Schizosaccharomyces pombe: one gene and its partners. The protein of the gene in region 1 binds, or shares a complex with, the protein of each later gene. Each region holds a gene or a part of one and is shown on either strand. Other genes may lie near its edges. The genes, in order: mrpl20, mrpl40, img2 and mrpl16.

Region 1 (8,669 bases):
AAGAACAAAATCGATGCGACCATGACGAACTTTTGAAAGTTTCGACCAAATTTTGGGGAAATCATTCACTAAAATGTTTTTCTGGGATTCCTCAACAGCTTTTTGCCCCTGAAGGCTTTGTAATTGTTCGTAGGTAGCATTTACTAAGAGTCCCAGATCAATGGCGTTGCCCCAAAGTGAAATTTCCGCCATTTCTACAAAAATCATGTATGCAGCCTTGTCATCCTTGTTTTCTTGAATAGAAGCAAGTTCACTGTTCAGGTGTACATATCTTTTGGCAAATTCTTCAATGGCCGACTTGCTAGAACGTAATGTGAAGTCCTTTTGTTCAAAGAAGGGGTCATGGCGATTCCACTCAGAACGGGCTTGAAAGAAAAGACTCATGATACGATAAAAATAGCATCCAGCATAAAGCCAGGGAGCATCGCCCCAAGTCAATGGACCAACTTGTTCCAACTCCTCATTATAGTCATCAATATCAGGCCCTTGACCGACAAGCGGCTTCAGAGGGCGATTGTGTTGAAGATCATATTTGAGTTGATTAAGAAGGCTGATTATTTCCTTTCCTTGAGTAACATAAGCAGCTTTATCGGACATTCCCGCCTCCAATGCCTTTGATATGTTTCGAGAAACCTCGTCAATCACATTCGTAGCTATAATAGGCCATTTTTTCATGACACATACCGAAGCATACGACTCAGGGTCACTGGTCATCGCATAAGCTGTATAAAGTTAGTTATTTTGCGGTTTTAATCTACCTATACGATGCTCGAGCATCCAACTAAGAATCCTCAAGTTTGTTTATATGTCTAGCTAAACCGTTACATACGTTTAGGAGGATGAAGTAATTTGAGACCCATCTTATTTTCTTCAGGTACCTATTTTCCTGTTGAAGGATAGACACGTTTATGAATACGCCAAAACCAGCTTAGCTGAGTACGCCCAAGTGCGAATAATGGAAGATGGTAGAATGCATACATACGCAGGACTTGTCATGAAGGTGAAAACGGGATAGAGAAGTATAACGAACTGCGCTTTTTTAGAGCTTGATTAGCAGTCAGAAGCATTAGGTACGACGGCTAAGAAATGTCAAAACGACAATTCCATCGTAATATTTGTCAGCAAAAAAAAGTTTATCTTCTATAAACCGGCATAATGCATTTTTTTGCGTTTGACTTTTTAGCTTATTTAGAGAATTCACCTGAGGGGCATTTTCCATACCTCTCGTTGTCTCAAATTAACAAAAAACTATGCATTACAGTATTCTCATCTTTCGCGTAAGCTAAGGTTATATCTAAGCGAACTTGATGAGTTCTATCTCTTCATCTTGAATATTATTAAATATATCAATTTTGACTCTGTCTACTAGAGCAGATTAAAGCAAAACACTCCTTTCAATCTTTTATTTTTTTAATAATGGAAACTAGGAAAAACCTATAATATCCAAACTATGCATGTATTCATATGCATTATCACTACTCTTAGTCCACATCGCTTACTTTAAATATCATTTTACAGTCTATAATGGAAAATCATGCATGTAAAAATTTCAATCATTCATTTATGCGTTCATGAAAAACATTATTTCAATTAAAAATTCGCTTTTATCTGTACAAAAAAAAGCAAACTTCTATGAGGGTGTTTTTGACAACCCATGGAATCGTCGTTTGTTTGTCATCGCTAATCATTTGGGTTCAGTTGGTTTATGAGAGAAGAAACTAATAATAACATAAAAAAGAATAACGTTAACAACGTTTAATCTCTCCGACTTTGCCGAGATGTGATCCGGAATGTTTGGCAATACGTTTGGAACAATTAACAAGAACACTTAATGGATAGCAGGTATAGAACGAGCCAATGCTAGGCACTTTACGTTTTCAAATACACAACAAACCCTGTGTGTATTTTTTCAAAGTATTGCCACATAACCCTAAATGGCGAGAATTGGGGATTTCCAATTTAAAACCATTTTGAGGTACCCTTTTTAAGGGCTTCTGCTTGTTCAGTACCCTTGGCTTGCGCCTCTGACAACACATTTTTTACGTTTTCACGAGGTTTGTCGAGTTCATCGACAACCCTCTCCTTCCCACTTTGGAGATAAGATTTTGCCTTTTCAGTGGTTTCGCCAACAGCTTTGTCAAATCGTTGACCCTCATTTTCCACGGCTCTGACGATTTCTGCATTCTTCTGTTCCAATCTGGAAGATGCCTGACGATTATGGCGAGTCATATAATAACCAACACCAACAGCAGCGGCCAAGGCTCCAAGAGTAACACGCCTATTCATGATGCTCGATTAGGATTTCGTGAATTAACCGAGTAAAAAAAAATTAATAAATCGAAAGGTTATATAAAAGCGGTTTTCTCCGTACAACACAAAGGATTGATATAATATTCAATCGAGCGCACGAAAAAAAATTAGATTTTTCCTGAACACTAGTAAATGTTCAATTGTAAAGTAAAACAATATTTCAAAGTAGTAAGTCGCTTTTGTTCAACTCACAACTTTATCGTTAATAAGAGTGCTCACTTCTACTTCCCACTGCTCTATATATAACACTTTTAGTAGCACAATACGGCAACGTAAATGAGATCATTCATATACGTATTAACCCACCCACCCATCATATAATTCTTGTGTCTGACTGATGTCACCCCAAAACTTCTCGAGGTACTAAGTAACAAGGAGAGAAGAGGAGAGAGGAGTGTAGGATTTGAGAATCGCAGTATGCAGTATTACAACAAAGCTGTGTCCACCATACAAATTAAGCTTGTTAGAGTCTGTAAAAACAATGTCTTAAAGCAAAATTCCTCAACTAGGTCGCATGTTTCTTTAGACGATCGTTGGAAAATTGGGCCAACAAAGAAGAGCACGTATAGTCACACAAGCTTCAAAAAAGTAGAAAACGGCGAAACAAAGCTTTAATATAAGTAAATAGTAGCTAGAGATGGATGTATTAATGAAATCCGTAGAATGCAAATTGTCCTAAGGAGATGGATGGATGATGGCTGGTGAGGAAACTTGCAAAAGTAAGTATCTCGTGAGTGTTTATAAACGGTTGATGTCGATTGGAAATCTTAAATAGCAACTGCTTAAAAGCCGAAAAAATATCTTTATTTTCACCACTTGAGGTTTGAACGAAAGGGCTCTCTGTACAAGAGGAAATAAAGATGTTTTTTTACTGCTCGCTGACCCAATTAATTATGTACACCATTGTATATTCTCAGTAATAGTTAAAAGATAAAACCAAAAAAAAAAAAAAACTGGCTTGAGTGTTACAAAAGCAACATACTCTATGATTGAGGATTTCCGAGCCTACTAAGCTGAAATGAAAAATTTCCTCATTTGTTCCAAAAAGGAAATATGTACATGAGAAGGGAGAGGTAAAAATGTAAAACAAGTTCGTGCCTGTATAATAACATTTTAAAGGTTGCGACAAAAATTCGCGATATGCAGACCAATGTGCGTAAATGTTGATAGAAATGTAAAGGATAATTCGTAAAATGCCAGAGAGCCTTTGTAAATTAAGAAATAAAGAAGAATGAAGATGTCTGTTTTTTTTGAAAAGCTTCAAAACTAATATTATTTTCCAAGGAACTTTCAAATCACTCGAGTATTTTGTAACGTGATTGAAACATTAAATAATGCAGTCAAAAACGCTTCCGCATGTGCATCAGAGCTTTATTGAAAACCAGAGTTTTAGAATCCCAAAAACTATTAAATTATTTTAAACCTGTGCTACTCGTTCCAATGTACGGAATGCTTGACGAGATGCACGTTGTCGGCGAATTTCACGCTTCTTTGATCCCCAGGCAAGTTTTTCAGCCTCAAAATTTTCTTCAACTTTTTGAATCCTTTCTTTGGGAGCTTCACAAACTCGTGAAATTAGTAACCGAGTTGTGTTAAACTTTTTAGACAGTGTTCCAGTTGTCCAAGCATTCGGATCTTTCGTCCTCAAGTCTTGGATGGATTTGATATCTTCACTACTCAGTTGATGAGTAGAAAACCTCAACTTTCCTTTGCTTTTCGATTTTCGGCTAACTGCCGGCGGGAGAAACATTGACTCTTTGGAAAGTGAGGTATCACGCTGATGAATTGGAGGTGCATCATAGCGAAAAACAGGAGGAGTAATCCTAACATCTGGAGAAGACGCTGGTGGATTGTAATAAGCAGATGTAGTTTCAGTTACCTCTGCTATTTTGGAACCCATAGGAATTTTAGGTCGCTTAGGAATACGTTGTTTAGGGTATAGCCGGTTCAAATTCCGAGTCTGAATGAAGCCTACAGGCTTCAAAAATGAAGGTTTGATTGTAAACAACATGTTTTTACTCTTTCAACTATTTTAATTTTGGTGTCGCTTTAGAAATGATGCTTTAAATTTTTTTGAGAAAAGGTTATAACACAAAAAACTGTAAAGGGCCTTTTGGATAAACCCACACTTCAAATAATATTAGTTATAACGAAGATTCTCAAAGCCTAAAAGCTATAGCAACGACGTGACAAAAGAGCTCAATGCAAAAAAAAAATAAACAGCAAAAAAACACGCAAAAAATCACTTGGAAGAGTTCTAACTTTTGAATTTACAAGAATCGTATTAAGGCTTGCAATTTTCCGAGTAAAAACACGAAATTACTCTCCAAATGCGGGTTTCCTGGAGTTTAGCAGTCTCTATATGCACAGTATCCACACTCTTAGTTTCAATACGTATAATGCAGTGTGTTTATGGCACCTTAAATGTATATTATATAATTCGTTATATTAAAACTGGTTTTTGGCACTTTGACGGTTTATTAAGAGAAATCGGAAGATTCAAGCTAAAAAATATTGTTAACGGCATTTTGATTGTAGGATAAATTCAATACAATTTTGTTTTGCTGTTTTTTTTTTAAACCATTTCTAATCTGTTCATGGTTCAATTTAAATACCGATTATATTGAATACTGGAAGCATGATATTTTAAATATTAAATTAAATTTATTTTATTTTTTTCAATTTTCCATAGATTTTTAGGAAATGTACACACCTTTTCAAACTGACCCAAATTTTTTGCAATGTAAATTATAATATCAAATGGTTAAGTAAGGGGTAACCTTTTGTTTACAGTCAGCTTCAATTTATCAAGTGAATATTAGCCGCATTGGCCCTATAACTAAAATCGGAATTTATTACAAGAACTATTGATTTCTTATAAGGCCTTAAACAACTACATCAGAACATGTTTCCAATTCTCTGCTTGATTTTAATCAATATTATAATGGTATAATAAATAATTATCGTTATCGTTAATAGCTACTTATATTATACAAGTTTACAAGATATTTCAAGAAGCTTTGGTGGTTTAGTGGTATAATGAATCGTTGCCATCGATTCGACCCGGGTTCGATTCCCGGCCAAAGCATTTATTTTTCTCTTTTTATATTCCATCTGACTTAATTTATAAAAACTAATCAAAAGAACCATGCTTGCGTTTTTTGTGGAGTTGCTCAAGTAAACCAATTCATAAATAATAATAATGGAAATGTTGGTCTATTTATCAATCTAATATGCCTCACTGATAGTACTATACGATTATTAGATTTTGCTTTTACTATTGCAAACGAGAGTGTAGTCTTTCTGCACATTTTAAGGATTAATGCAAATTTTTCCTTTTGAAAAAGTCAAACTACGTTTTCTTAATTAAAGCTGCGATCTTAAGTCGCTCATTTACGAAATTCATATTTCAATCGATTACCCAGTTTCCAAACACAAACTATACCACCTTCCCTCATCTTTCCTTGTTCTCCTTTTTACAATATATTTAGCAGCTGATGGATAGTGCTAAACTTATCTTCATTAATCAAATTAACGATTGTAAGGACGGCCAAAAACTTCGATTTTTAGGATGCGTGCAATCATATAAGAATGGCATTCTACGGTTGATTGATGGATCAAGCAGCGTGACTTGTGATGTTACAGTAGTTTTACCTGATGTATCTATTCAAAAGCATGAGTGGCTCAACATTGTTGGGAGAAAGCGGCAGGATGGTATTGTGGATGTCTTGTTAATACGATCTGCTGTTGGAATTAATCTTCCGAGATATCGACAAATGGTTTCTGAACGTCAAAAATGTGATTGATGAATATCTTATGTAGTTCTGTTGCACCATGTCATTACAAACTCATTTAAAAATATATAGAAAGTGATCACCTTAAGATACCATAAAGGTACTGAATCGTGTTAATGTCAGTCTTTATAATAATAAATATTTATTAACCTCCAGGTTCAAAGTCGAAAACAAACAATCATGGTTAAAAAAAAAAAGGAACGAATTACATCTGTTCAAATTGCTATATACTCTAATTTGAATGTTTAACTAACAAAGATAAGCGTTACCTTGTGGCATCTATTTATTTTTGTTGAAACTTTTATTACTTTGTAAAAACTTAAGACAAATTACCAGAATTTGTTTTGTCTTTCCAACATGGACATGTAATATGTGGCTTCAACATTCATCAAAGAATCCTCTTCCAAACTATCAGTGACTGTGCGAAAGAAATTAAAGCGAAGACGATTATGATTAATCAGACGCTTCAGCACTGAAAATGAGTGAGGTGCATGAAATTGGGAATACTAAACCAAATTTAGAGATAATCAAGCTATTCGGTTGTAGGTGTTGTGTCTGAATATTGACTGGAATCATGTTCGTGTTTTTCGTCGGCGACTTGAACGATCGTTTTCGTTTGAACAGATGAAGAGGCCTTAGTAGAGATGGTATCCGCACCAAACAGGAAATAGCCAAAGAAGGTGCCACAAAAGAGAAATAAAATTACATAGCCATTATAATACATTGCGAGTAACATTGCGATATACGCGACAATATACTGGACTAGATAAAAGCAGGACCGAAGAAAATGAAGAAAGATTCGAAGGGCCATGCTTGGACCAGAATGAACAGGGGCACCCGAATGACAGCAGGAATTGCTAGCGGGAGAAAATCTACGGACACACCAACGATCGAACTCTCTTTGTCCGCGACGGACCAATTCCAATGCCATCATCATGAAGATAATTCCGAAAATACTACCGACAAACATATGCTTACTGGTGATATGCCAATGTTTGGTAATAAAGCAAGCATCGATAGTATACCAGTTCCAATACATGGATAATTTACAAGAAGAAGCCTTTGCGGTTGTAGTGGTATTAGTCATATTCATGCCAGACATGGATGTTGTGCTGTTGGACATGTTCATTCCAGACATGGATGTTGTACTATTGGTCATGTTCATTCCAGACATGGGTGTCGTACTGTTGGTCATGTTCATTCCAGACATGGATGTATCATTCGACATGTTCATAGCAGCCATAGCGGCTCTAGCAGTCAAAATTTGCAAAGGTGGGAGCAAATTCTCCAATTGAGACAAGCTAGAGTCATCTACAGGGCCTTGGGAATTTTGAGCCATAGATGTTCCTAACTTAATGAGGGAATTACCCAGACTTTGCTTTGCAGCGGAGAAGAAAGACATGACTTCTAGGGAAAAATAAAAAACCAGAAGAGTAGTAAATGAGTTTTAGAAAAAAAGGACGAAAGAGTTAAAAGAAAACTTGAAGATTAGGGAAGACCAGTATCTTACTAACTTTGACAATTATATATTTAGATGAAAAATTTTTGTTCTTAAAAAACAAGAAAACAGAATATATGCAGATGAAAATTAACCCTACGAAACACAATGGAGAAATGAATATCAAAAGGAAGAAAAAGAAAATGAGAGACAAGAAAAGAAAGAAAACACAATTATAAAATGAACGAAATTTCGGCAATCAATGGGCAGAATCTCAACGAATTGAAGAGCAAATTGAATTTATACAGATTTCAAAGAAAATATTCTGTTTCTATATTTTGCTAAAAAAAACCAATTTTTCGACCAATATGAAAAATTACAAGTAAATAAACTGAATTTAAACGATTAAACTAACCAACCCAATGTTCTACCAAAGCCTTTCAGTCAAACAATCGTCTCAAGGTTAAGCGTCCAGGAATGTCTCTATCACACCTTCCTTATATATACCATAACCTACGAAATGAGCGATTATTTCTGTCCCTAAAATCAGCTCTTTTACAGCGCAATAATACCTCGATTGATTTTTTCTTCCAACAAAGTAACATCCAAGTAGCAGATGGAGGTAGAAGAAAAATGCCTCATTTTTTTTCATCAAATGAGTGAATCAGTCGGAATCCAGCATCACAAACAGTGACATTTCCATAATTTTAGCACAAGAAAAACACACACCTAAGATTTAGGTAAGACATCCAACCTTTTTGCATAGAGGAAATGTGACATTTTTTAGCATCAGAACCGTTGAGTGCGCTATCCACTATTAGAAGGTATTGTTTTAACGATACACTATTTACAAAAATAACGGTATGTAAGATACAGCATTTCAGTGCAAGCTCACAATATTGTTAATTTTGAGAAGCAAAAATATGGTCACAGCCAGGTTCGAACTGGCGACATTCGACTTATTAGATCGACATGATAACCGACTACATCATGCGACCACTTTTTGAACAATTGCTTCTTTAATATTTTATATACTCTTTTAGTGAGTAATAGAGATGGAATTTTAAGAAAACAGTATTGATGTTTTTTACAAGAAAGCTTGAGTTTAGAGTGAATGGGTTGGAGTA
Region 2 (7,437 bases), on another chromosome or scaffold:
TTTTTTAGATAACTGGAAATTGCCTAATTACACAATCTTTTTTACCTTTTTTTGATGATTGTATGTTTAAAGGGGATGTAGTTCAACTAAAAAATTGCTTATTAAACATGCAAGAGTAAATGATTATTGAATATGTATAGTTGCAACAAGAAGCAAGGTTGCGAGAAATGACAAATGGGTTGACTCAACTTTTTTCTCATTTAAATTTTTGTTTCAGTCATTTTAATAAGGTCCTTGTGAATCGATATCAAAAGAGGAGGTGGAATAATTATAAAGATAACGTTTCTGAATATCATGGTTTTCGAAAAAGAAAGTCTTTGAGGTCATGAAGTTTAGGCTGCTTTCGGTTTTTTTACTCCATACTTGCTTCGGGATGTGACACGTCCCGCTACACCAGCAATGTCATAGACACCCCGAACAACATGATATTGGACTCCTGGACAATCCTGTGCTCTGCCGCCTCTTAACAATACCACAGCATGCTCCTGTGCATTATGACCGATACCTGGAATGTAAGCAGTAACAGAACGGCCGGTTGAAAGGCGTACACGGGCAACCTTTCTTACTGCCGAATTAGGTTTTTTGGGTTTTACTGTAAAGACCCTCGTGCACACACCCCGTCGAAACGGACTTCCCTCTAAAGCAACAGATTGCTTATTTGTTTTTTCAGGACGTTTCTCTTTATTTCTTATCGTTTGATTTAATGTCTTTAACATAACTGAAGAGCTAGAAAACGCTTGAGCCTGAAATGGTGAAATAACTGTTGGCTTCATCAACCTTGAAATTACCGGATATCGAGCATATTGAGCAAAACGGATCATTATTTGGGGAAATTTAATATTTGAGCTGTATAAAATCTCAAAAATCACTATAATAGATGCTTGAGCAAGGAATTCCGAAGTTTGTACCCGAACGTCGCTGGTTTGGTGTTAGTGTATGTATATTGCCTTGGAATAGAATATCTCGCAGCATTCATATTATTCGATGGGATACAAAAATTTATTCTTTTATATTTTGACAAACATTTTTGGGTATAACTAGCGTATTAAATATTTTTTCCTCTAGGAATTGAACTTTAATGGACTAGTCTAAAACAGATGCAGAATGTAGGTATGCTAATCGACAAATTTACAGTACAGTGTTAAGCTGAAAAAATCAACTTAATTCATGACTTCTACTGAAAAACGTACTGGAAGTAGATTGTATTGAGGTTTAAGCTTCGTTTTGCCATGCCATTTTCAGTTGATGATAGTATTTATTACAATAACTTATCCATTCATTAAAACTTTAAACACTGATATGGATTTATCAATGTGTTTGACTACTTACATGAAACTTAGCAGAAAAATTGAGCATCAGGCCTACTCCATATAAAGCTTTGACTTAAAACTTAATATTTTCTACTTGTTAAATGTCTTCGTTTGGTTACATATCTCCATAAATGCATATGCTTTGTTTGGCTTAGCTACTGAAAATTCAGAAACAATTAAATGAACTCCGAATTATAATCTATATTTTTTTTATCAGTGTGTGAAATTGAAGGGGATTTGATGAAACACTTCTTTTTTTGAAATATCGTACTGGTGGCTTTTCCTAGTGTATCACGACTTACTCTCTTAATTAGCTTCATACCACTGAACACGTTTACTACTACCGCATTTTTCTCTACTCAGGTTTTTTAGCTTTTAAAGGAAGGTTTTATGTTAATACTTTTGAAAATTAAATTTTTTTCTATCAACGTGAAAAAATTCAAGGAGTACTTTAGTTTGTGTTGAAAAGTTTTTTGGCAGATGCGTTCTACGTTACAATTAATGGCTAAGGCCTCAAAGGGAAAGCACCAATCTGGTCCTTCTAATCATAGTGAGTCAATCGATTTGGTTAGAAAAGCTCTTTACGGAAATAAAAAAGTCAGGTCTTTGAAAATGAATCCAGACATGTGGGAAAAACACGAAGTTATTAATCGCGCTTGGCGTATACACGAATATCGACAAGAAAAACAAAGAGAGAATCTTCTAAAAAACCAATTCTCTGCAATGAAAATTGCTTGCGAGGAACTGAAGCATACGAGTGAAACATTATATAAAGCCGCAATGAGCGATTCAATTAACAGGAGGTTCCCCGTAGAAACGAGGACTCCTACGGACACACCACCACGGCTTTCTAAATAGGCGAGCGCCTTTTATGAGTATAATTAATATCTTCGGTAGTGCTCGAAAGTGTTATAGACAAGTTCAAGTATATAAAAAAATGTATCACTAATTACGAGCAAGTATAATCTAATTAGGATTTTTAAATAAACCAATAATTGAATTAAAGAATTATGTCTCCTAGTTTCTAGTCTACATGTATCATATTATTCATTCCCAATTTCACCGTAAACGAATGATACAAAATGAAAGGCCATGCTTTCTTTTTTAACCAAAAATTTAGAATTGTTACCAAACCCAAACCCTACCTCGAAAACAATAAAATATGACCCAAACACTGTTTTCTTTTTACAACGTGTCGCAGATGAGACAAAATGTCTTTAAAGCCAGAATTTACGTCTATCTGATTCTTCACCGGCATTGCTCTCGAAGAAAACCTCCCCTTCTTTCCTATCCCATACTCCTTTTTGAACCATACGAAGACGCATGGTAAATCGAGGACCTAATTCTTGTAGCCCAGTTCCAATACCATCTGGCATATTCGATTTTTCACGAAATGCATAACGGTGTCTTCGAAAAAAAAGAAAATCTCTTTGACAATGGATGGTAACAACTTGTCGCCCTTGAATTTGAGGCGTTTGAATAAATAATGATTGAAAGGCTCGAGCAACAGTCATACCAAGTCTCGTTGAGAAATTGTTGATTATCAGTTCTGGAATATGACCAGTGGAGCGGCCATGATTTGAAATTTCCTTTGCTGTTTGGAGATTCGATAAGGTAAAATAGAACGAAGGGCCATTCGGTAAGTGTACAAGGGTTAATGCATTTGTTTTTTTACGATCCTCATTTAATACCAGTAAATCGGTGTAACCACGCTTAGCAGCGGCTTCTGCGATTTCATGAACTTCAATATCTCCGGTTCTTTTTCGAAATTCAGCATTAGGAAAACAATCTAAAAGCTCAGATGCAAAATCATAGCATTTTCTAGAGGCTCGTTTACTCGTGGTTACCAAAAGTTTCGGAACTTTCCTTTCTTCACTAAAGTATGCAGAAAACTCATCATCTTTTAACTCCGCCTGAAGTTCCTCATCGGGTTTATCCTCTATGATAGTTTCATCATAAACTCGTTTCGATTCAATAGTAGCGGGAATATTTTCTGAAAGTCGCAATCTCTTCTTTTCCGGGTCTTTTTCTTCTTCTTTAGCACGTTCTTTTCTTCTTTCAAGCTTGTCCTTATTTTTTTGATGAAGAGCCTTCATATACTGCTGTTGGCGGACAATTTTGTTTTTAATCTTCCCCATTTTAATAAGTTGCGTATAATCTCTCAAAATTTAAAATTTAAGAATGAAATAATTTAAATCCTTACAAAAAATTGCAACTAAAAAAAATTGAGATAAGAATGAGCAACTTAAGTACAAATAAAAGAGAGTTAAAAAAAAGTATACGATGGGTTTGAAGTCTCAAAAACTTATTGCACAATCCAATTCCATGTCGCAAAATACCGAATCTGAAGAACATGCTACGAATTTCGTCAAATTTGCTTAAAAGTATTAACGCAGTATTATATCACACTGCTGTTAAGCAAAATGTATACTTTAGTTACAATTACTGTTTGTAAATAGGTGATATTACAATCCGAAATCGTACACTATAGATATCCTCATCATTAAATTGTTGAACAACTGAAAGCATTGTGGTAAGGGTTCAACATTCTACAAATCACTCACGCTACTTTCATTTTCACATTTGAATGCGTGCTTTGAATGGAACTAGCAGAAATGAAAGGGACGATAGTCTTTTAATTTCATTTCTTTACTTTCTTTTTACTTTCTTCTGAACTGAATTGCTATATTGATAAATTAAATAATGTTCTGGATAACCAGAACGAATCAGAACGTGTCTTTTAATAGCAAAATTTTTCAAAACCAAAAGCCAATGAACAATGTAAGCAAAAAGGAGGAGGAAAACAGATTAGGGAATTCATATAGAGCGTATTTTCAGAAAGGTTATTTGTATACCTTTTTAAGTCCTAGCCTCGCTCATGTCGAGTACTTGAACCATACCTCGGTTTTTGGTCTCATTTCGGACAAGTTCATCTATCAACTTATAATTCCCTGGAATCACGAGAGCTATGCACTCATATTCATCATCAATGTTTTCTTCTTCAATTTCATCAGCTAAAGAGCGTAAACGCTCTCGTAAAGCTTTTCCCTGTTTGACATCCACCACTATTCTGATGCGCATACGCGCACGGACGATAGGAATTTCGTTTTTTTCTTGCAATTTCTTAATAGCTTCCAGAGCTTGGGACTTTGCAGTTTTACTGGTAGAGACAGAAAAGCCACAATCAGATAATGCTTTTTCAATTATAGATGCTGGATAAGGTCGTTTAGAATTAGGATCCATGCACATCGCAGTAACATGGGAGACAATATCGCGATAAGTTGAAGACATTTGATGATGTCTTTCCTTTTCACCTACTTGAAAATCTCCTTTTTGCAAAATTTCTAAAATAATTTTATCTATATCATCTGTACCAAAAGCCTTTTTCAAATCCTGTCGGCTAGCTACATGTCCTTTAGAAACATTGTTAAACACATTGTGGATTTGTAAAACTTCATCCAGATCTGTTTCACTAAACTTGGTTAGCTATGGTTTTGATCAAAAAAAATTGTACGAGTTATTGAGTTGTTGACACCAGTCGACAAGACACGTGAATTCAAAAAGATAGCTTGTTATAATTTTCTGCTGATCTTAAAGAATATTTATCTGTAGCAAAGGCTGACTCTCACTAATTACAGTAGCTTAATTTAATGAAATCATGCATACATTTTGTTTCTCCATTCTGTAACTTTATTTTTATAACAAGCAACTTCAAATCTTTTCCCTCCTTTCTTATATTTTACAACGGACACATTGGTTAGACGAATTTGTCCAACAGGTTGACTAATAACCATTTTGCTCAAGATGGGTACTTTTTTGGATTATTTTTTGTTATTCTCACCTTCTCTAATTATAGTGTTTTAATCCAACGCCTAAATCTGTTAAACAGGTTAACAATCCATACACTATATATCGGTATTTAGATTTATCTGAAAATTAAACAAAAATTTGATATTTGCGAGCCTGAAAGGCAAAAGGATGGTTCCAATCATTTTTCGGATGTTAACATAATCTTGGAAAACCTTATGGTTAAATATTTAATATAAGTGCAAGTTATTTGTCGGGTTTTCTAAACCAGTTTACAAATCACGAATGATATTAGGCTTTTAAAAATTATTACCTAAATTCAGCAAATACTAAAAAAAAAGTAGAAAACAATAGAAGTATCGACTAAGTTTGAGTTATCCGACAAAACTTCAATCTTACATCCTAGTATATTAACACAACCACTTGCGAAGCGTTTCTATACGATTTCGCTTAACATTTTCAATTTTAAACTTATAAACAAATAGATAGAATGACATTGTCTTAACGAGTACACATCATTTTAATGTTGGTTAACGATGTCGAAGCTGTAGAATATTGCGTGCAAAAGCAAAAGCAAATTTTAAATAATGAAACTTAACCACGTATCGCAAAGTTGCCTTTGTGTAACAATGATCCATTTCTTTACTTATTGACGAAGAGAGTACTCAAATAACAACTGCAAACTACCAGCAGGATACACATTACTGTTTCATAGCATTCTTATTTTTTCTCTTATATTTGGCCATATTTATCCTGTCTAGAGGTTTTACTTTCGTTCCAACATTACAGCGTAGTAAATTCCTCTGTACAAGTGATGTACCACCGTTAGTTATTTAAATATTATAAAACTTTTTGAGCAGAATGAGAGACTTGCGTAAATTAATTCCAAGGCTCCGAGGCCCTGGTACTAACGTCTTAAAAATGAAAAAGCCTTTACCGTTGCATATGCGAACCAAAATACGCGAACACCTCAATAAATCTGATCCAACTGTTAAAGACGATAAATCCGCTAAACCCGAGTTACCGTTTGGAAAGCCAGCTGACAGAGTCCCTTTCTGGCATATTTTTAAAGGGGATTATGTATATGTTCATCAAGGACCTCTGAAAGGAAAATGGGGCCGTGTTGTTGAGACAAACAAATACACAAACGGTATTACCATAGAGGGGGTTAATGTGAGATCCGTCAAAGTACCAATTTTTCTTTTGCGAAATAAGCCTGAAGATAACCAAGATCCAGTAATTGATATTGCTCACGAAGTACATTATGCAAATGTGCGTCTTCTTGCGCATGCAAAGACTGACGCCGGGGAACCAGTTCTTATTCCAGTTAAGCTTAAAAAGCATTCCTCAACTAATCTCCGGTCCATTATTCGGCCTAATATTGAAGGAGTACAAATTCATACTATTCATCTTCCTCGTCCCAAGACTGAAGATAAGCCTAAAGATCCCGAAGGTAAACTCGATACTAAGAATCCAGTAGTTAGTAAAGTTACTTGGTCTCCTAGCTTATCGGAGCCTCCTCTTCCTCCGTTTGCAATTGGCGATTTACGAGCCAATTGGTCTCGCCGTTTAGATCGTATATGGGGATATAAAAAGAACAATGATGATTTTACTGAAATTGCTAAAGATCTTGTCCGAGCAGAGACTGCTGCTGAAGATTTAATAAAAAAACCCATCTCTCCTAATACTTACAGTGATTAAAACAAAAACGATGTTTGGTCGTTGCAAGCATTTTTTTATAACATTACATAATGATTCACAATCTCTAGGTTATAAAGCTTAATAAACTTTTGTAAACTCTTCTAAAAAATTTTTCAAGAAACTTAAATATATTTAACTTAGTAGAGTAAGTGATAAGTGATTTCAATGAAAGTGAAGTATTTGAAGTTTACACGTTAACCTAGAAAAACTTTTACTAATCAATGTAGAAAATCTATACAAATCAAGATCTTTAAAGTCCATTAATCTCTTGTGCGAAAATTAACGCTTTGCCAGTTCATCCAATCTGGCTTGTAAATTGTCTTCAGTCTTTAACTCCGGTACCGTACCAATTTGGGTCGCAGCATCTGGCAATCCTTGAGACAAATCGACTCCAATTTCATCCAACACTTTATTGACAAGTTCATCAGCTTCCTCTTCGTCATCTTCTTCTAAAGCATCGTCCATATTTTCATCAATCATTTCTTGTCTCTGTTCCATAATTTCATTTTCACGCTCGAATTGCTGAGTGATACGAGCCATTGCCGGTATATTCATGCTTTTGTTCATCCCTGTCAATAACTTTGTAAAAGTTAGTTCTATATTTTTCGATATTAAGGTG
Region 3 (7,462 bases), on another chromosome or scaffold:
TGCATAGTTGACGTTTTCCCGGGTGGCACATAGTGAGATTTGAGTCGAATAATGAAATAGCCTCTGACGAGTGGTTTCGTACCAAGAGTTTCAAAAAGAATAATCCACATTAACTCAATGTATCATTGATGACGGAATGTTGCTTATATAGCCAGAGTAACCCTGCTCTGAAGCATCTAAGGTTATATCTTTTTAACTTTTAGCTAGCAAACTCACTTGTTCCTTTAAGTTCAGAAAGTATCTGCTGGTTATTCAACAGATAATTATCTTGCGAAAAAGGAATACACACTCAGCATTGTAATTTGTTGAGTATATTTCACAAGCACATTAAATTGCATTATCAAACATGAGTGGGGATATTTTAGTCGGTGAATATCTATTCAAAAGGCTTGAACAATTAGGGGTCAAGTCCATTCTTGGTGTTCCAGGAGATTTCAATTTAGCTCTACTTGACTTAATTGAGAAAGTTGGAGATGAGAAATTTCGTTGGGTTGGCAATACCAATGAGTTGAATGGTGCTTATGCCGCTGATGGTTATGCTCGTGTTAATGGTCTTTCAGCCATTGTTACAACGTTCGGCGTGGGAGAGCTTTCCGCTATTAATGGAGTGGCAGGTTCTTATGCGGAGCATGTCCCAGTAGTTCATATTGTTGGAATGCCTTCCACAAAGGTGCAAGATACTGGAGCTTTGCTTCATCATACTTTAGGAGATGGAGACTTTCGCACTTTCATGGATATGTTTAAGAAAGTTTCTGCCTACAGTATAATGATCGATAACGGAAACGATGCAGCTGAAAAGATCGATGAAGCCTTGTCGATTTGTTATAAAAAGGCTAGGCCTGTTTACATTGGTATTCCTTCTGATGCTGGCTACTTCAAAGCATCTTCATCAAATCTTGGGAAAAGACTAAAGCTCGAGGAGGATACTAACGATCCAGCAGTTGAGCAAGAAGTCATCAATCATATCTCGGAAATGGTTGTCAATGCAAAGAAACCAGTGATTTTAATTGACGCTTGTGCTGTAAGACATCGTGTCGTTCCAGAAGTACATGAGCTGATTAAATTGACCCATTTCCCTACATATGTAACTCCCATGGGTAAATCTGCAATTGACGAAACTTCGCAATTTTTTGACGGCGTTTATGTTGGTTCAATTTCAGATCCTGAAGTTAAAGACAGAATTGAATCCACTGATCTGTTGCTATCCATCGGTGCTCTCAAATCAGACTTTAACACGGGTTCCTTCTCTTACCACCTCAGCCAAAAGAATGCCGTTGAGTTTCATTCAGACCACATGCGCATTCGATATGCTCTTTATCCAAATGTAGCCATGAAGTATATTCTTCGCAAACTGTTGAAAGTACTTGATGCTTCTATGTGTCATTCCAAGGCTGCTCCTACCATTGGCTACAACATCAAGCCTAAGCATGCGGAAGGATATTCTTCCAACGAGATTACTCATTGCTGGTTTTGGCCTAAATTTAGTGAATTTTTGAAGCCCCGAGATGTTTTGATCACCGAGACTGGAACTGCAAACTTTGGTGTCCTTGATTGCAGGTTTCCAAAGGATGTAACAGCCATTTCCCAGGTATTATGGGGATCTATTGGATACTCCGTTGGTGCAATGTTTGGTGCTGTTTTGGCCGTCCACGATTCTAAAGAGCCCGATCGTCGTACCATTCTTGTAGTAGGTGATGGATCCTTACAACTGACGATTACAGAGATTTCAACCTGCATTCGCCATAACCTCAAACCAATTATTTTCATAATTAACAACGACGGTTACACCATTGAGCGTTTAATTCATGGTTTGCATGCTAGCTATAACGAAATTAACACTAAATGGGGCTACCAACAGATTCCCAAGTTTTTCGGAGCTGCTGAAAACCACTTCCGCACTTACTGTGTTAAAACTCCTACTGACGTTGAAAAGTTGTTTAGCGACAAGGAGTTTGCAAATGCAGATGTCATTCAAGTAGTTGAGCTTGTAATGCCTATGTTGGATGCACCTCGTGTCCTAGTTGAGCAAGCCAAGTTGACGTCTAAGATCAATAAGCAATGAGCAAGCTATTGAGAGTGGAATTGGCAAACAAAGTTTCCTTTGATTTATATGTTTTTTATGATAAGCCCATTCAATTCATATAGTCTTTTAGTATAATGATTAGTTATTAAATTTATGTTTAAAGCAACTTTTTAGTTTAAAATTTTTCAAGTCAAGTTAGGGTGTACGTAAACAAACAATACCTTGGAAGCAATGAATGAAAAGGTAGAGTTAATCCAAACAATGTGGAAACCAGTTTCCTTGCATCTACTTACTAGTTTCGCAGAAAAATTGCTAAACTGCTTAAAAGCCAACTTTAACATTCTTATTTCTTACATAGGAGCTACCGTTCCATTCACATTGTGATATGCTAAGAATTTATTAGTTTTACAAAAATTGGGTGATTCTACTATTTAATACAGTGGTTTTGTAACGTAATGAAATTATAACGCTCGTTTATTACGATTTCCTAGGTAATGTAGCGGGTAAAGGCAATTGACTGATATTATGTATCACTCTATCACAGCAACGGACGAACGGTTTGCGTTGTTGTTTATAAATGGTTCTGCAACGCAGCTTCTGACTTTGACACTCTACACCACACCATACTTCAGCGCTCTATTCTTTCGCATAGGAAGGTAAGCTGCATTTCGTGGCGTTTGGTACCTTGAAAAAATATATTTTGGTTAATATTCGTTGGCTTTTTCTTTTAATTCTTGCTACTAATTCCAAGAATTGTGTAAGTATAGGAAGAGGCTGTGTTGATCGGTTAGTTTCGTAATTTCGGCATACTAGTGATTCCTAAAATACCGACTACTAATAATTATAAAGCTTAGATCACTTCTTTGGCTAAAGTAATTAAACCAGGAAGTCTTAAAATTCCGCTTTTTAGCATCCTAAAAATTTCCCCGTCATTTCTCAAAAGTGTTAAACGCGTGAATGTTCTCAAAGCTCTGTTTTCTTTTCTTTGCTTTTTGAACGGCTTTGTCTTTGCATTAATTTTTGTGACGCGTTTTGTGCCTCCAATAGGTAATTAATCTAAATCCGTTTAAAAAGTTGTAGGTGACTTTTTATTTTATTACGTTTTGCTTTCATAAAAAAATCCATTTCCTTCTGTGCGTTGCATATTCATTAATATATCACTTTGATATACATTAAGGTGAATTAGAAATTATTGAGCTCCTCTCCCTTTGTTATTATTTCACGCTTTTTCTCAGGCCCACTTATAGTCCTCTGAGGAATTTTTTATCTTTTTTTTTAAAATACCAACTCAGTTTTTGTCGAGTGATTCTTCTTTTTTATTCATTCATTCGGTTAACTAAGTTCCCTATATTATTTTGTTTTCTACTACAAGCATTACGTTTTGTTTTTCAGTGAGCTTGTTTCGCATCTCTGACCAAAAGGAAGCAAATTGACGGCTAGTGTATTTTTGACTCGTCACATTCTTTTGTCTATCTTTGCCAATTTTTCAAATTATTATATATCTTCGAGATTAACCTCCATTCTTTAGGCTTATTCTCGTAATTTCCTTCTCAATTGAGTTCAATTTTATTAATATTGATTTCATCTGATATATTTTTTCCTTGGACTTTTTCTAGATTATATTTGTTTGCGCGCAATTTACTTATTAAATATGCCTGAAGGAGCCGGTAGACCGTGGAATCTCACAGAACTTGAAGAAGAGAAGTTGAAGACTATGTGGAGTTATTTGTTTAAGCTCTTCGGCATTACTTTACTCGAAAGAACTGAATCTTGGTACACAGTGAAGACACACTTATCTGATGATTCAAGTAGTTCCTCATCACATCGTTTAAGCAGCGTCTCATATGCGAAATCCCGTACACGACTTGAACTAACGTCTTCATCTCATGGCTCGGACACTCGCAGTTTTAATGATAAAACCAAAAATGTGCATTTGGAAAGAGTTGAAAAAATTGCAAGTGAATGGGACCCGGAAGGGCTTAGAGTTTGCTTTTGGGATGCTGTTAATTGTGATGATCCTGATGGCCTTCTACTTCGTTTCCTTCGTGCTCGAAAATGGAACGTTGAGGCTGCGTTGGAAATGTTCATGAAAACCGTTCACTGGAGAAGTAGAGAGATGAATGTTGGTGAAATTGTATGTAACGCTGACCACCTTGATAAAGATGATGATTTTGTGCGTCAACTAAGAATCGGAAAGTGTTTTATATTCGGTGAAGATAAACACAATCGTCCAGTTTGTTATATTCGCGCACGTCTTCATAAAGTTGGTGATGTCTCACCCGAATCGGTTGAGCGACTCACAGTTTGGGTCATGGAAACTGCTCGTTTAATTCTCAAACCTCCTATTGAAACTGCTACTGTTGTTTTTGATATGACTGATTTCAGTATGTCCAATATGGACTATGGGCCATTGAAATTCATGATCAAGTGTTTTGAAGCACACTATCCCGAATGTCTGGGTGAATGTATTGTACACAAAGCGCCTTGGCTTTTCCAAGGCGTTTGGTCCATCATCAAATCTTGGCTTGATCCAGTGGTTGTCTCAAAGGTTAAATTCACTCGTAATTATCGTGATTTGCAACAATATATAAATCCTGACAATATTTTAAAAGAATTCGGTGGGCCTAATCCATGGAGATATACATATCCAGAACCCTGTCAAAACGAAGCAGAAGCTCTGAAGAATGTTGAAGCTCGTAAGAGTCTTAGAGCAAAAAAGGATGCAATTGCTAAACAGTACGAGGAAGTTACAATGGATTGGATTTTGAACAATGGTGACATGGCAGAAGTGAAACAAAAACGTCGTAAGTTAGCTTCACAACTTATTGATGCATACTGGAACTTGGATAAATACATCCGCGCACGCTCAGTTTACGACCGCATGGGCCTAATTGCTCCTCAAACTTCCCATACTTTGCTTCTTTCTCAACCTACAAATGGAGATGTCAAAGAATCAATGGTAGAAGTTACTAGCTCGGCAACTTAGTCGGTCGTAACTTTCAATATTCCTGCTATTTTACATTGTAATCCTTCCCCTTGCCTATACTCCCGTATACTGACTAATTGTACTTTCCCGTGTTATTCTAAATAAGATGCTGGCTCAAAATATGATTGTATCATCTATTAATGCATAACTTTCAAGATCTTTTATATCAATTAGTTACATATGAAATCTCTTTCCTACGTTGATTTTTACACCCCTTTTCGTTTTACCATTTCCTTATCGCTTTAATTTTTTAGCACTCTCTTTAATGCACTTAAAATCATCTAGAAAGGGATAACTTTTTTTAGGTCTTATGGCTTTTCATTGAAGTTGTTGGTCGCAATACTTATCCATCCATTTTGTCTTTATTAGAATCAATGATCAGTTTTATTTGCAAATTAACTTAGATTTCTTGCTATTTATTATTATTTTTTATTTTATTGTAGGAAAGCGGTTCGAAATTAAAAAAAACAACAAGCTGAACACCTAAATGCCTACTCCAAAATATAGTATTAATTTAATGAGTATGCACCTTCGCTGAAGTATATTCCGTGCCGTAAAAATACTTTCGAGTTTAAACACGCGTGAGGTTCAAGCACCGATTAAATTTATTTAAAACAAGAGCGTTTTATTTTATTTTAATTGTTCTTAGTGAATCACTTAATCTTAGGCTCCTGTTTGACAGTTGTTTAAAACTTACAAATTTTTGGAGGTTATGATAGAAATCCTCTTTATTCGCGAATGCACGACGACTTCTTTTACACATCCACCATAAATTCCTGCAACTCGTAGAAAGTTTTGTTGAACCAAATGCGATCATCCTTAAAGCCAGTGCTATCAAATTTGAGGTTCAACTCAACAATTGCATCCGAATCACTTCGGTTTCATGTTTCACGTACACCTTCAAAAAATCTCCCAGTCTATCTAGACTACAAACAACGAGGAACGAAAATTCTGACTTTAATTCGTAAAATCCATGGTGATTCTAATGTAAGTATACATATTCCGTCAGCAGTAATCTCTTGGCTAAAGAAAGTACAAGTAAAGTCACTATGCTGCGGAAATTGTTCTATCAACTTTTTGCTTTAACGGCCAACCCAAGTTTATTTTAACTTCTTTTATTCGTTCTCTTTTTTTTTTCTAACAATATTTTATCAATAGGCTTTGCGGCTCAGGCTCATTTCCACACTTAAAATGTCACCGAAAGATGTTTATGTAAACAAGTTAACAAATCAAGTTGTCCTAAAGGGAAATCACATAGTCACAGTTCGTGAATGGTTACAAGACCAAGGTTTTTAAGTTCCTAGAATTTTTCCTTTTTTAGATTGTTACTATGTATGTACGTATCCTTCTTTCAAAGGAATGATAAAGTTGCTTTTTATCAACATAAAACTCTCGAGCATATATATCAATTTGGCTTTTTAGCATATTACTTTTACTTCATCTCCTTGTTACAGCGGTGATAATGTCAAATAAAACACAGCTGTTGCAAATAATTAATCTCGATTCATTTCTTCTCATCATACGTGGTTTTCAAACTTGACAATGGAAAAAATGCATCTTTTGTGATGGTTTTCCTTAACTACCTTTAAATAAATAGTTATTCGAGCTTCAGTAGAAACATTCAAGAGGTACTTGCGTAAAAAGAAATTCAAACATCTGCTTAATGTGAGGCGTCCAAATGCTAAATACAATCTTTTTTTTGCTACCTATTCGTTTGTTTTGTTGAATTTATAAACGCTTAAAGGAAATTATAATATATATATCGAAACTCCGGTGTTTTTATTTTTTGACTGTAGTTATAGACAGAATACGTTTAAGGCTATTAGGGTATATAACTAAATTAAAAATTCTTTTCTCAATATTGTATAGTTTGTAAATTGACAAATATTAAATGCTATATCGAAAACATACCTTCAAACATAATCTATATATCTGCGTCATACGCCCATGGACTGTTCTTTACCTTTCCCTTCACACATACTTATAATCCTGAAATCTCAACGACTTTTTCATTATTTTTGAATTGAACTTGGATTTGTCTGTGATAGGAATATTTTGACAAACATTTTTAGCTTTTAAAATTTTTGCTTTGTTCTGAAGACGTTGATTTACAATTTGCTTATGAATTAATTATTCACGAGAAGAAAATTCCTTGTAGTTTATCCCTTTTTTATTGGTGATTATAAGCTGAATAACTCTTAATGTTGGGAATTATATTTTCTTTAGTGAACTGAGGCTTTCTCGAAAAATACTTACGGTTATCCATGATTTAATGATTTTCTGTTTTTTTTGTTATTTTTTTTTCGTTTATCAAAAAGTGGTTAAGCATTGACACGATATAAGGCACTTTATTTCCGTGTTGAATTTTTTGTTTTGTTTTTTCTTGACATTAATACCTTACTTTCCTTGAATGCGAACAAACCGCATTCATTTGTATTCGATTATCGAAAGCC
Region 4 (8,028 bases), on another chromosome or scaffold:
CACGTAGAACACGATCAACATCATCCATGGCTAAAGTACGGACATCAGCCAATTTCTTGATGCGAACGGTAAGTTCCTTGGCTTGGGCATCAGTAAGATGAAGGTTAAGCTGCTCAGCACGAGATTTGATGGCATTCCAACCAGTCAAACGAGAGCCAACATGAACATAACGACTCATGCCAAAGTCCTCGGGCTTAAGAATTTCATATGTAGAAGGGTTAGCGAGAATAGCTTTAGCATGGATACCAGCCTTATGGGTAAAAGCACACATTCCGGTAATGTAATTGTTGAAAGGAATTTGAACTTCAACGGCATCAGCGACAAGGTTTTCAAGCTCACGTAACTGGTTAAGCTTGTATTTGTGGGTAATGTATTCCCTATCGGTGACATACATACGAGCCAACAAGGCACCAAGAGGAGTAATACCATTACGCTCACCAATACCAAGAATGGAAGTATCGATATGGGTAGCACCAGCTTCCAATGCGCAATAGGCATTAGCAATAGCCATACCAGTGTCATTGTGAAAATGACATTCAATATCACAAGAGACAACACCACGTAAGGTACGAATAAGATCGTAGACTTGGCGAGGAGTAGCGCAACCAACGGTGTCAGCAATACCAACACGGTTGACGCCAATCTTGTCTACAGCCTTGTAGAGAGAAAGGAGATCGACAAGATCAGAACGGAAAGAATCCTCAGATGAAAAGCGGACTTCAATACCCTTGCTCTTGACAAAGTTGATAACTTCGGTAGCGCTGTCAATAATGTAAGTCATGTCCTTTCCATGGGAATATTTGCGAAGATATTGAGAAGTTCCGATAACAACATCAACACCATCAACTCCAGTCTCAACAGCGACACGAGCGTCATCCATATGACAGCGAATATGAGTTAAAATTTTACACTTTAAGCCCAATTTGCAAATAGCTTCGCAATCTTGGCGGGACTGCTCAGAAGCCACGGGAGAAGTCAATTCAATGTAATCGACACCAAAGTTGTCCAATGCCTTAGCAATTTGAATTTTCTTCTCGGTGTCGAAAAAAGCGTTTGCGAATTGCTCACCTTCACGAAGAGTAGACTCAATAATGGAAAAGTTATTGACACGTGAAAGAAAATCAGATGGGTTGGGACCATAAGGGTTTCCATTCATAGGAGGCTTGATGGTCTCAGTACCATTAGCTTCGGACACAGACATGTTGATGACTTTAAAATGCAAAAAAAGGAAAAGGAAAAGCGAATTTTCTAAAATGAATTAAGTATAAATATATAAATTATACAATTCAACAACTTATTGTCCCGAAACCTGTTAGCTTTGAATTTTTTAAGCTAAATCTTTTATCACTGTAGAGGAGACAACTAAGAGCAAGGATGCACGTATGTATGAATTTCAAAAAATTCGACCCTACCCTATTTATTTACTGAAAGAAACAGTCACTACCAACTCGTAGGCAACCGCGGTAATTTATGGTAGAAAATTGATTTACAGATCCCGATCGATCTTGATGAGATTTAATCAGATCTATGGTAGTAATGATTAAGTTACTGATCCACTCAACAGTGGATTGCTAAGCTAGGTTCTAGAAGGTATAGTGATTTTTTTTGTAAACGTTGTAAATATTTTAGTGGAGTTGATTTGAATAATTTCATTCGTAATTCCATAGTAAAATCAGTTTCATATTATTTAAAGTGTACTTTTTGATTCACTTCATGATTTCGCACATATACAACGTGCCGTTTTTTACATCCCGAAAAAAAGTCCCCAACGGAGCAGAGAGCAGCAAATAAGATTTTCGCCAAAAACACTCATTACCGTTACCAACTTTTCAGGACCAAAGAAATTTGATGTTTTAACGAAATTGCCGAGCCGTAATCAAAGTGAATCAAAAGTGGTTCATATTTCGCCAACAAAAATTAAGCAACTCTCTCATTGGGGATGAAAGTTCCCATTTCGAAAATAGATAATGAAACATAGCGCAAAATGTACAATGTTTTAAGGCATTTCTGGCAAATTTCATTCACTAAAACATAGAATAACTACAACGATTGAAAAGAAGCTCATGAATGTCTGTACAAAGATGCAGCATTAAGTTCACAAACTAAGTAAGTGAGAAGTATGACAGAAAAGTAATTATTGAATGGGTTAAAAATAGATAAATTCAGCTTAACTTTTCCCTTAAACAGCTGTAGTAGTACTGGTAATTTCCTGATAGTTCATTTTGCTTGTCTCGGTGGTAATGGGGGTTTCATGAATCAGTGTGGTACCCAATCTTTTGGGGGTTTGCTTGACGATAATCTCATACTTGCCTGGAAGGTGAAAAGCGGCTTGCTTCAATGCATGCTCAGCTAACTCTTTACGCATTCCATCACCACCAATTTCAAAAAGTACACGACCGATTGGTATCCGTGCAGCCCAGTATTCAAAAGCTCCTTTGCCTTTGCCCATACGAGTTTCATTTCCTTTTACGCATACTGGCACATTGCAACAAAAACGTGTGTATACCCGAGCAGCCTTGATAGGTTTTAATATACGCTTGAGAATCTGTTCGGCAGTTTCGAGTTGCTTGGCATGAAATCTTATACTTCGATCTTTTAATCGCATACCATATTCTCCCCATTCAAGTTGAGTACCACGTAGTGAACCTCCTATGGGTATAGGGACTCTTCCTTTCTGAGCTTTTTGGTTTCTGATGCTTCTGGGTGCATACTGGTGTCCCCAACGAACCATCGTTTGGATAGGCGGCATTTGTAAACCATTCAACCTCGTAGGTCCTAAAATACCAGAAAAAAAGAAAGGAAATTTATTGTATTGTTGTAAAGCCATATTATATAAGTTTTTATGTTGTGAGGGTTTCAAAAAGTCATAAAACAACGTGTTTTTATTATCATGCAAAAGTCGTTCTTTAAAGTTACTCAGAAATATTCAAAATAATCAAATTTAAGTATTATATTTCTTTTTTTATGGGAAAATGGTAACAATAGTAACGATAATAGGCCTGCTATTTTTTGTATGAGAAGGGGGTTAAAGGATACTTGGATTCTGTATGTGTTGCTGCCACTTATCCTAACTAAGTTCCGGGAAGAAGCCGGACAATAACTGAACATTAGCTATAATTATTTATTTGTTTGTTTATTAGTTTGTAAAAAAAAAAAAAAAAATTATCTTAAGCATTAGGCAAAAAAGATTATTTTCATAGATACTGAATTTAACGTGCGTTTTATGCTCAACACATTATTTGATTCAGCATCATCATTTCAATGACAACAATGCGTGAATAGAAATAAAACAGTGACTATTTTAGCTATTTCAAATAATATACTTAGCTCATTTCTTGTCAAGGAATTCTTGTCCTTGAAGAATAACAAAACGTTCAACTGTTTAGTGCCTCAGTATTGGTATTTGGAATGTTAAGACTGTCTTAAAAAAATCTTCTGATGTACGTTTATAAACCATTAGAAGGATCCTCTATCGAGCTAAACATTATTGTATGGACAATCGAACGTAAGAATGCCAAGCGCAACTCTTTTGTCCCCTGTAGCAAGAACTTGCTCACATCATGATTATAAAAAAAACAAAAAATGGGATTAGGAAATTATGAAGGATCTGCTAAAATCTTGCGCATTGATCTACGTATCGCGGGAAAAGAAGAATTGTTCTGCAAAGCGTGAATAGCCTGATATTCCCAGTTTTCTAACGTCTTTTGAGCAGCTTCCTTCTTTAATGAATTTGTATATGATTGGGATAAAGACGCTGTTCTCGTAGAAAACGTCGACGAAGAACTAGTTGTTGACATACTTTAATAAATATTCCGAATGGACACAACCTTGAAGACTTGCCAATTCGAATTTCTCTGATTTTACTGATTCTTGCTGTAAAAAGTCTTAAAAAATTCCAATAAGCTATAACACGCTTGATTGTTCAAGCAAAGGATTTGAGTTATTTGTAGAAATAGAAATGTGCTTACTCGCCATAGTTATGAACATCGCCATGTTAGTCTAGGTCTCGAAGAGAAATCGTTATTTCATGTTACGTATAACATCAAAGTTCGTTATTGATTATTTCTTATATCATTACATCATATACCTTTGTAATGCTTAACTGTAAAGTAAGCTTATTTACAGTACGAAGCAGTTAGCAAAAGAGAAGTACATTTTTATAAAATCAATCATGCGTAAATGGATTAAATTCGGGTTTCACAGTAATAATTTATCATTTTTTGAAGCTCTAACCCCTACGGTTCAACTATTTACAATCTAATCTCGACCTTAAAAAAACAAATATGCCTCAATAAAAAAAAAAAATTTCTTACATTTAGCCGGTTTTTATTTTTAAAGATAAATAGTATCAATATTAAAAGCACTTGATTGCGAGACATGAATTACAAAATGTATAATATTCAATTTCATTAGCTCGTATAGCGATTTTGCGTTTAAGAAACTTCGAAAAGGTTTTTTTAAAAAAATTAAAATAAAAACAAAGAAAAATCAAATAAGCTCATCAGTTGCAATCGGGTATTAAAAATAGAGCAACAAGTTAAAATGAAGGAATAAAAGCAAATTACTCATTAGGTAAGGGATCCAAACTCAACAAAAAGAAAATTAAAACTACTAAAATACAAACCAAAAACAAAAAAGTCAAATATGCACAACGAATACAGACATTAGGTGCTTCTCAAACGAGAAAGATTCACGTTACCACCCCTTGCCTCAAGGAGCTTCTGATAATTTAATAGACTAATCGTGATTGCAGGATTTCCATCGGGTTGTTGAGCTTCATAGTTTAGCAAAAGCTCGATCGCCTTCATAGCGTCTTTAGTGGTAATCTGGAATTCAGTAGATTCTTCTTCGTCCGTCTCGAAAGCGCGATCATCCATGTACTGCGAAGCAATTTGATTGATTATATCCTCAGAGGAATCAACAATATTCTCTTCTGAAGGACTTATAAAATCCTCTATACGCATAGCAGCTTGAACAGAAAACTCTGAGACGAGCTCACGAAGTGGATGAATCATTTCATCCAAGGCACGCGAGGTAACGGCAGATTCATTGAATAGACCAAGAACACCGGAAAGATTGAAGGCATTTTCAATAATTTCTGGTGATATGTCTGTCGTCCATGCTTTCACCAACCATAAAATAGCTCTTAAAACATTAGTAGTATTATAGGGATTGCGTCCCAACTCATTTTGTTCCAATATATATTGAACCCAGTGTTTGCGATAGCATGCTTTTAGAGCATAGATCACACCCTCACTACAAGGCTGGGAAATAGAGGCTGAAGTAGATGGTAAAGTAATTACAGTTGTATTTCTGAGGTCATTACCAGAGTTTCGAATGTTTTCAACAGCACGCAAATGTGGAGTATAGCTATCAATAAGAAGTATGACTTTGCGACCTTCCATACACGCATCAAACCAACGTAGCCATTCCTCCATTATAGCTGTGGTCATGGATGCCTTACCATTACTTCTCCATTTGAAATTCATTACTTCGGGTTTTACATTAGCAGCCCGAAACACTCTGGGAGATTGTGAGTATCCAATAACCCATAAAGGCAAACGTTCGGTTCCCGAAGCATTACAACACACGGTTAGTGTAATACGAGCTTTGAATCGAGTAATACCTTTTATATCTTCGACTTCGGGAGTGCCATTTGGAACCAATTTCCAAAAAAGACCGGTCTCTTGCATTGTGAAGATATCATTAATATTCGTTAATCGCGTGACATCGTAAACACGAGAGAGAGGATCATTAGGTGGTTCCGTATTATTCAAAACCACAGACTCGGTGGGTTGTTCATTAATTGCATGAAGTATATGGCGCTTCCTGAAACCTTCCAACCATCCATTGCTAAAGTTCGGAACCGGTTGATCTTGATACTCGGGAATTTTGTGCCAAAGAATAGCGGCGGCTCTCTTAATTGTTTCACCGGAAAGTGTAGCATCGTCACCCTGTTGAACTTGCCATTCAAATAAAGCGGCCTCTAAAAGAGGGTATTTCGGTGGTCTGTTACGTTTCACGTCCCATGGTTTTTCTACAGTATTGTCCAGATACGAGTATTTGGAGGATAAGATCTGAGAGACGGAAGGCTGTGAAATATCTTTGCCAAACTTTTCACGGAACCATTCGATAAGATCTTGTTGACCGGAACGGTTTTGAAGTTGAAAAAAGTAGTGCCTAAGAGCGCGTTTTTCATGTTCTGTAATGGCTCTTCTTTTGATTTTTCCCATTACTCGATAGCTTTATTATTTCTAATGTCTTGAAGTGAAAATATAAGGATAGCAGAGCAAAGGTTTCTTGCCTTAATAAAACGACACTAACAGTCACGAGTTCGTAATATTATACTGAACAGCGTAACGTAATATCTAAGCTTAATATCTGTTAAGCGATGAAACAAACAGCGGTAAACAGTATAGTGAGTTTCATCTTCAAAAATCAACATATGGTCGTACCAGGTTTGGCTTTCCTAATTCATCTGGGCCAATTTTTTGCAGTGGTATAAAAAAATGAATTATTCCTGGTGCTATTTCATGGTTTCCAAATAAAAGTTTTTGGTCGACATAAACTGGATTACCAGTAAGAGTATTGTTAGTTTTGTATTTAGTATATTTGTGAAATTGCGTAAAATTGCTCAATAATAGTGCGATGAAGGAAAAATGGAACAAGGAATTAAAAAAAAAATAATTCCGCTCAGGGGACGAAGGGACTAAATTATGGAAAAAGTAGTAACAATTGATTATTGATGGGGTTACTATAAAATATTAAAAAAAAAGGTCAAACTCTATAAATGATGTATTTAAATTTATTTTTATTCTCTTTTTTTTTTTTTTTTTTTTTAATTTTTATATTCTTCAGTAAAAACTAATAATTTTTGCTAGGATTGCATTCAAGTCAATCTAAAAAAAAGCAATTTGTGTAGCAATTCACATATTTTTTTACAATTGACGGTATCATGAATTTTACTGTAACTTACTAACTGATAAATTTTCTTTATTTCGTGGATATATACTAGTCTACAGAACATGAACATATATGGAAGACAGTAGATGAACGAACATTCTACACTTACAAACGGACAGTTAGTTATCGCCTTGGAAATTCAACTTGCTAATAAAATTATATTAAATGATATGCATATTTAATTCCATTTTCCGAAATCATATTTTCTTCAAAAAATAGCATTCAAACGCCTCAAACTCATTATCACTCCATTCTTAATTGCCAACCTATATTACCAAATGCCGATGGTGCACATTGCCAGATAATCGGTTATTAGATCCGGGTCTAGAGAACGAAACCATTGCAGTTGTTAAAATAGCATATCTTCACAAGCCATTGTAAAATAAAAATATCAAGATATCAGATATTCATTAACGGTGTATCAAGAAATTTGAGCGCAGTTAACTTACAGAACCTCAAGTAGATAGGTATCGGTCGCATACCTTATCTTTCGTCCTAGTTCACTTGCGAATGTTCATACTACATGACGCCAGTCTAATTACTACTTATTCATCCCCGTTTGTAAATAACGACTCGGTAAATGCTACCTCGGTTAATTGGACTTTGTAAATGTTAACAGACTTAGCGCGACAAACCTTTGAGCGGCAGCATGGTATAGCAGAGGATGAAGTGAAAATTGGGTTGTTTTAATCAGAATTCAAAAAGTATGGTTTTCTATGTAGGATCCTGAAGAAAACTGCTTGGACTCCTTAGTGGCAGAGCAGATGACAATGAAAAAGAAAGTCTTTTTTTTTTTTTAATTTTCTTTTCGAATCCTTTCTTTCTCATTTATTTATTTATTTTTTTGATATGTCTTGTGCCCCACTAATTGAACGGCCACAGCAGTGTGACGAGGTAAATTAGATCGAAATAGTATACATTTTAAGGACCTGCTGATGAAGTAAATAAAAAGGGTTGATATCGTTAAATTGGTAAGTCACATGTTGGTTTCCGACATTGAGTTGAGAAGAATCATGTAAACATTACCAAATTCATTACCGAAACAATATGAATTAAATAAATAAA

Evidence for each region.
Region 2: mrpl20 (region 1) and mrpl40 share a complex: the UniProt entries of both Schizosaccharomyces pombe proteins name them as parts of the mitochondrial large ribosomal subunit.
Region 3: mrpl20 (region 1) and img2 share a complex: the UniProt entries of both Schizosaccharomyces pombe proteins name them as parts of the mitochondrial large ribosomal subunit.
Region 4: mrpl20 (region 1) and mrpl16 share a complex: the UniProt entries of both Schizosaccharomyces pombe proteins name them as parts of the mitochondrial large ribosomal subunit.

The regions. Positions count from the first base shown.
Region 1 is NC_003421.2:817,296-825,964, reverse strand, and holds mrpl20 (mitochondrial 54S ribosomal protein mL58), read right to left. Parts: upstream 4,671-8,669; 5' UTR 4,322-4,670; coding exon 3,728-4,321; 3' UTR 2,488-3,727; downstream 1-2,487. Other genes in the region: duf89 (cobalt/nickel-dependent phosphatase), read right to left, coding at 1-722, 830-860; SPOM_SPCC1393.12 (uncharacterized protein), read right to left, coding at 1,960-2,286; telomere cap complex subunit Ten1, read left to right, coding at 5,808-6,116; Cu(2+) transporter complex subunit Ctr4, read right to left, coding at 6,637-7,506. UniProt on the Schizosaccharomyces pombe protein: Component of the mitochondrial ribosome (mitoribosome), a dedicated translation machinery responsible for the synthesis of mitochondrial genome-encoded proteins, including at least some of the essential transmembrane subunits of the mitochondrial respiratory chain.
Region 2 is NC_003424.3:2,668,002-2,675,438, forward strand, and holds mrpl40 (mitochondrial 54S ribosomal protein uL24m), read left to right. Parts: upstream 1-5,791; 5' UTR 5,792-5,978; coding exon 5,979-6,818; 3' UTR 6,819-6,937; downstream 6,938-7,437. Other genes in the region: mrps12 (mitochondrial 37S ribosomal protein uS12m), read right to left, coding at 333-821; mrpl28 (mitochondrial 54S ribosomal protein mL40), read left to right, coding at 1,812-2,168; Brix domain-containing protein Rpf1, read right to left, coding at 2,528-3,448; SBDS family ribosome maturation protein Sdo1, read right to left, coding at 4,170-4,782, 4,977-5,104; ESCRT III complex subunit Did4, read right to left, coding at 7,098-7,397. UniProt on the Schizosaccharomyces pombe protein: Component of the mitochondrial ribosome (mitoribosome), a dedicated translation machinery responsible for the synthesis of mitochondrial genome-encoded proteins, including at least some of the essential transmembrane subunits of the mitochondrial respiratory chain.
Region 3 is NC_003424.3:585,251-592,712, forward strand, and holds img2 (mitochondrial 54S ribosomal protein mL49), read left to right. Parts: upstream 1-5,816; coding exon 5,817-5,996; exon of another isoform or gene 5,997-6,167; coding exon 6,168-6,305; 3' UTR 6,306-6,902; downstream 6,903-7,462. Other genes in the region: pdc202 (pyruvate decarboxylase), read left to right, coding at 347-2,062; csr102 (sec14 cytosolic factor family phosphatidylinositol transporter), read left to right, coding at 3,675-5,009. UniProt on the Schizosaccharomyces pombe protein: Component of the mitochondrial ribosome (mitoribosome), a dedicated translation machinery responsible for the synthesis of mitochondrial genome-encoded proteins, including at least some of the essential transmembrane subunits of the mitochondrial respiratory chain.
Region 4 is NC_003423.3:3,506,107-3,514,134, forward strand, and holds mrpl16 (mitochondrial 54S ribosomal protein uL16m), read right to left. Parts: upstream 3,028-8,028; 5' UTR 2,828-3,027; coding exon 2,180-2,827; 3' UTR 1,417-2,179; downstream 1-1,416. Other genes in the region: lys4 (homocitrate synthase), read right to left, coding at 1-1,201; protein tam12, read right to left, coding at 3,597-3,797; ARS-binding protein Cbp1, read right to left, coding at 4,665-6,233. UniProt on the Schizosaccharomyces pombe protein: Component of the mitochondrial ribosome (mitoribosome), a dedicated translation machinery responsible for the synthesis of mitochondrial genome-encoded proteins, including at least some of the essential transmembrane subunits of the mitochondrial respiratory chain.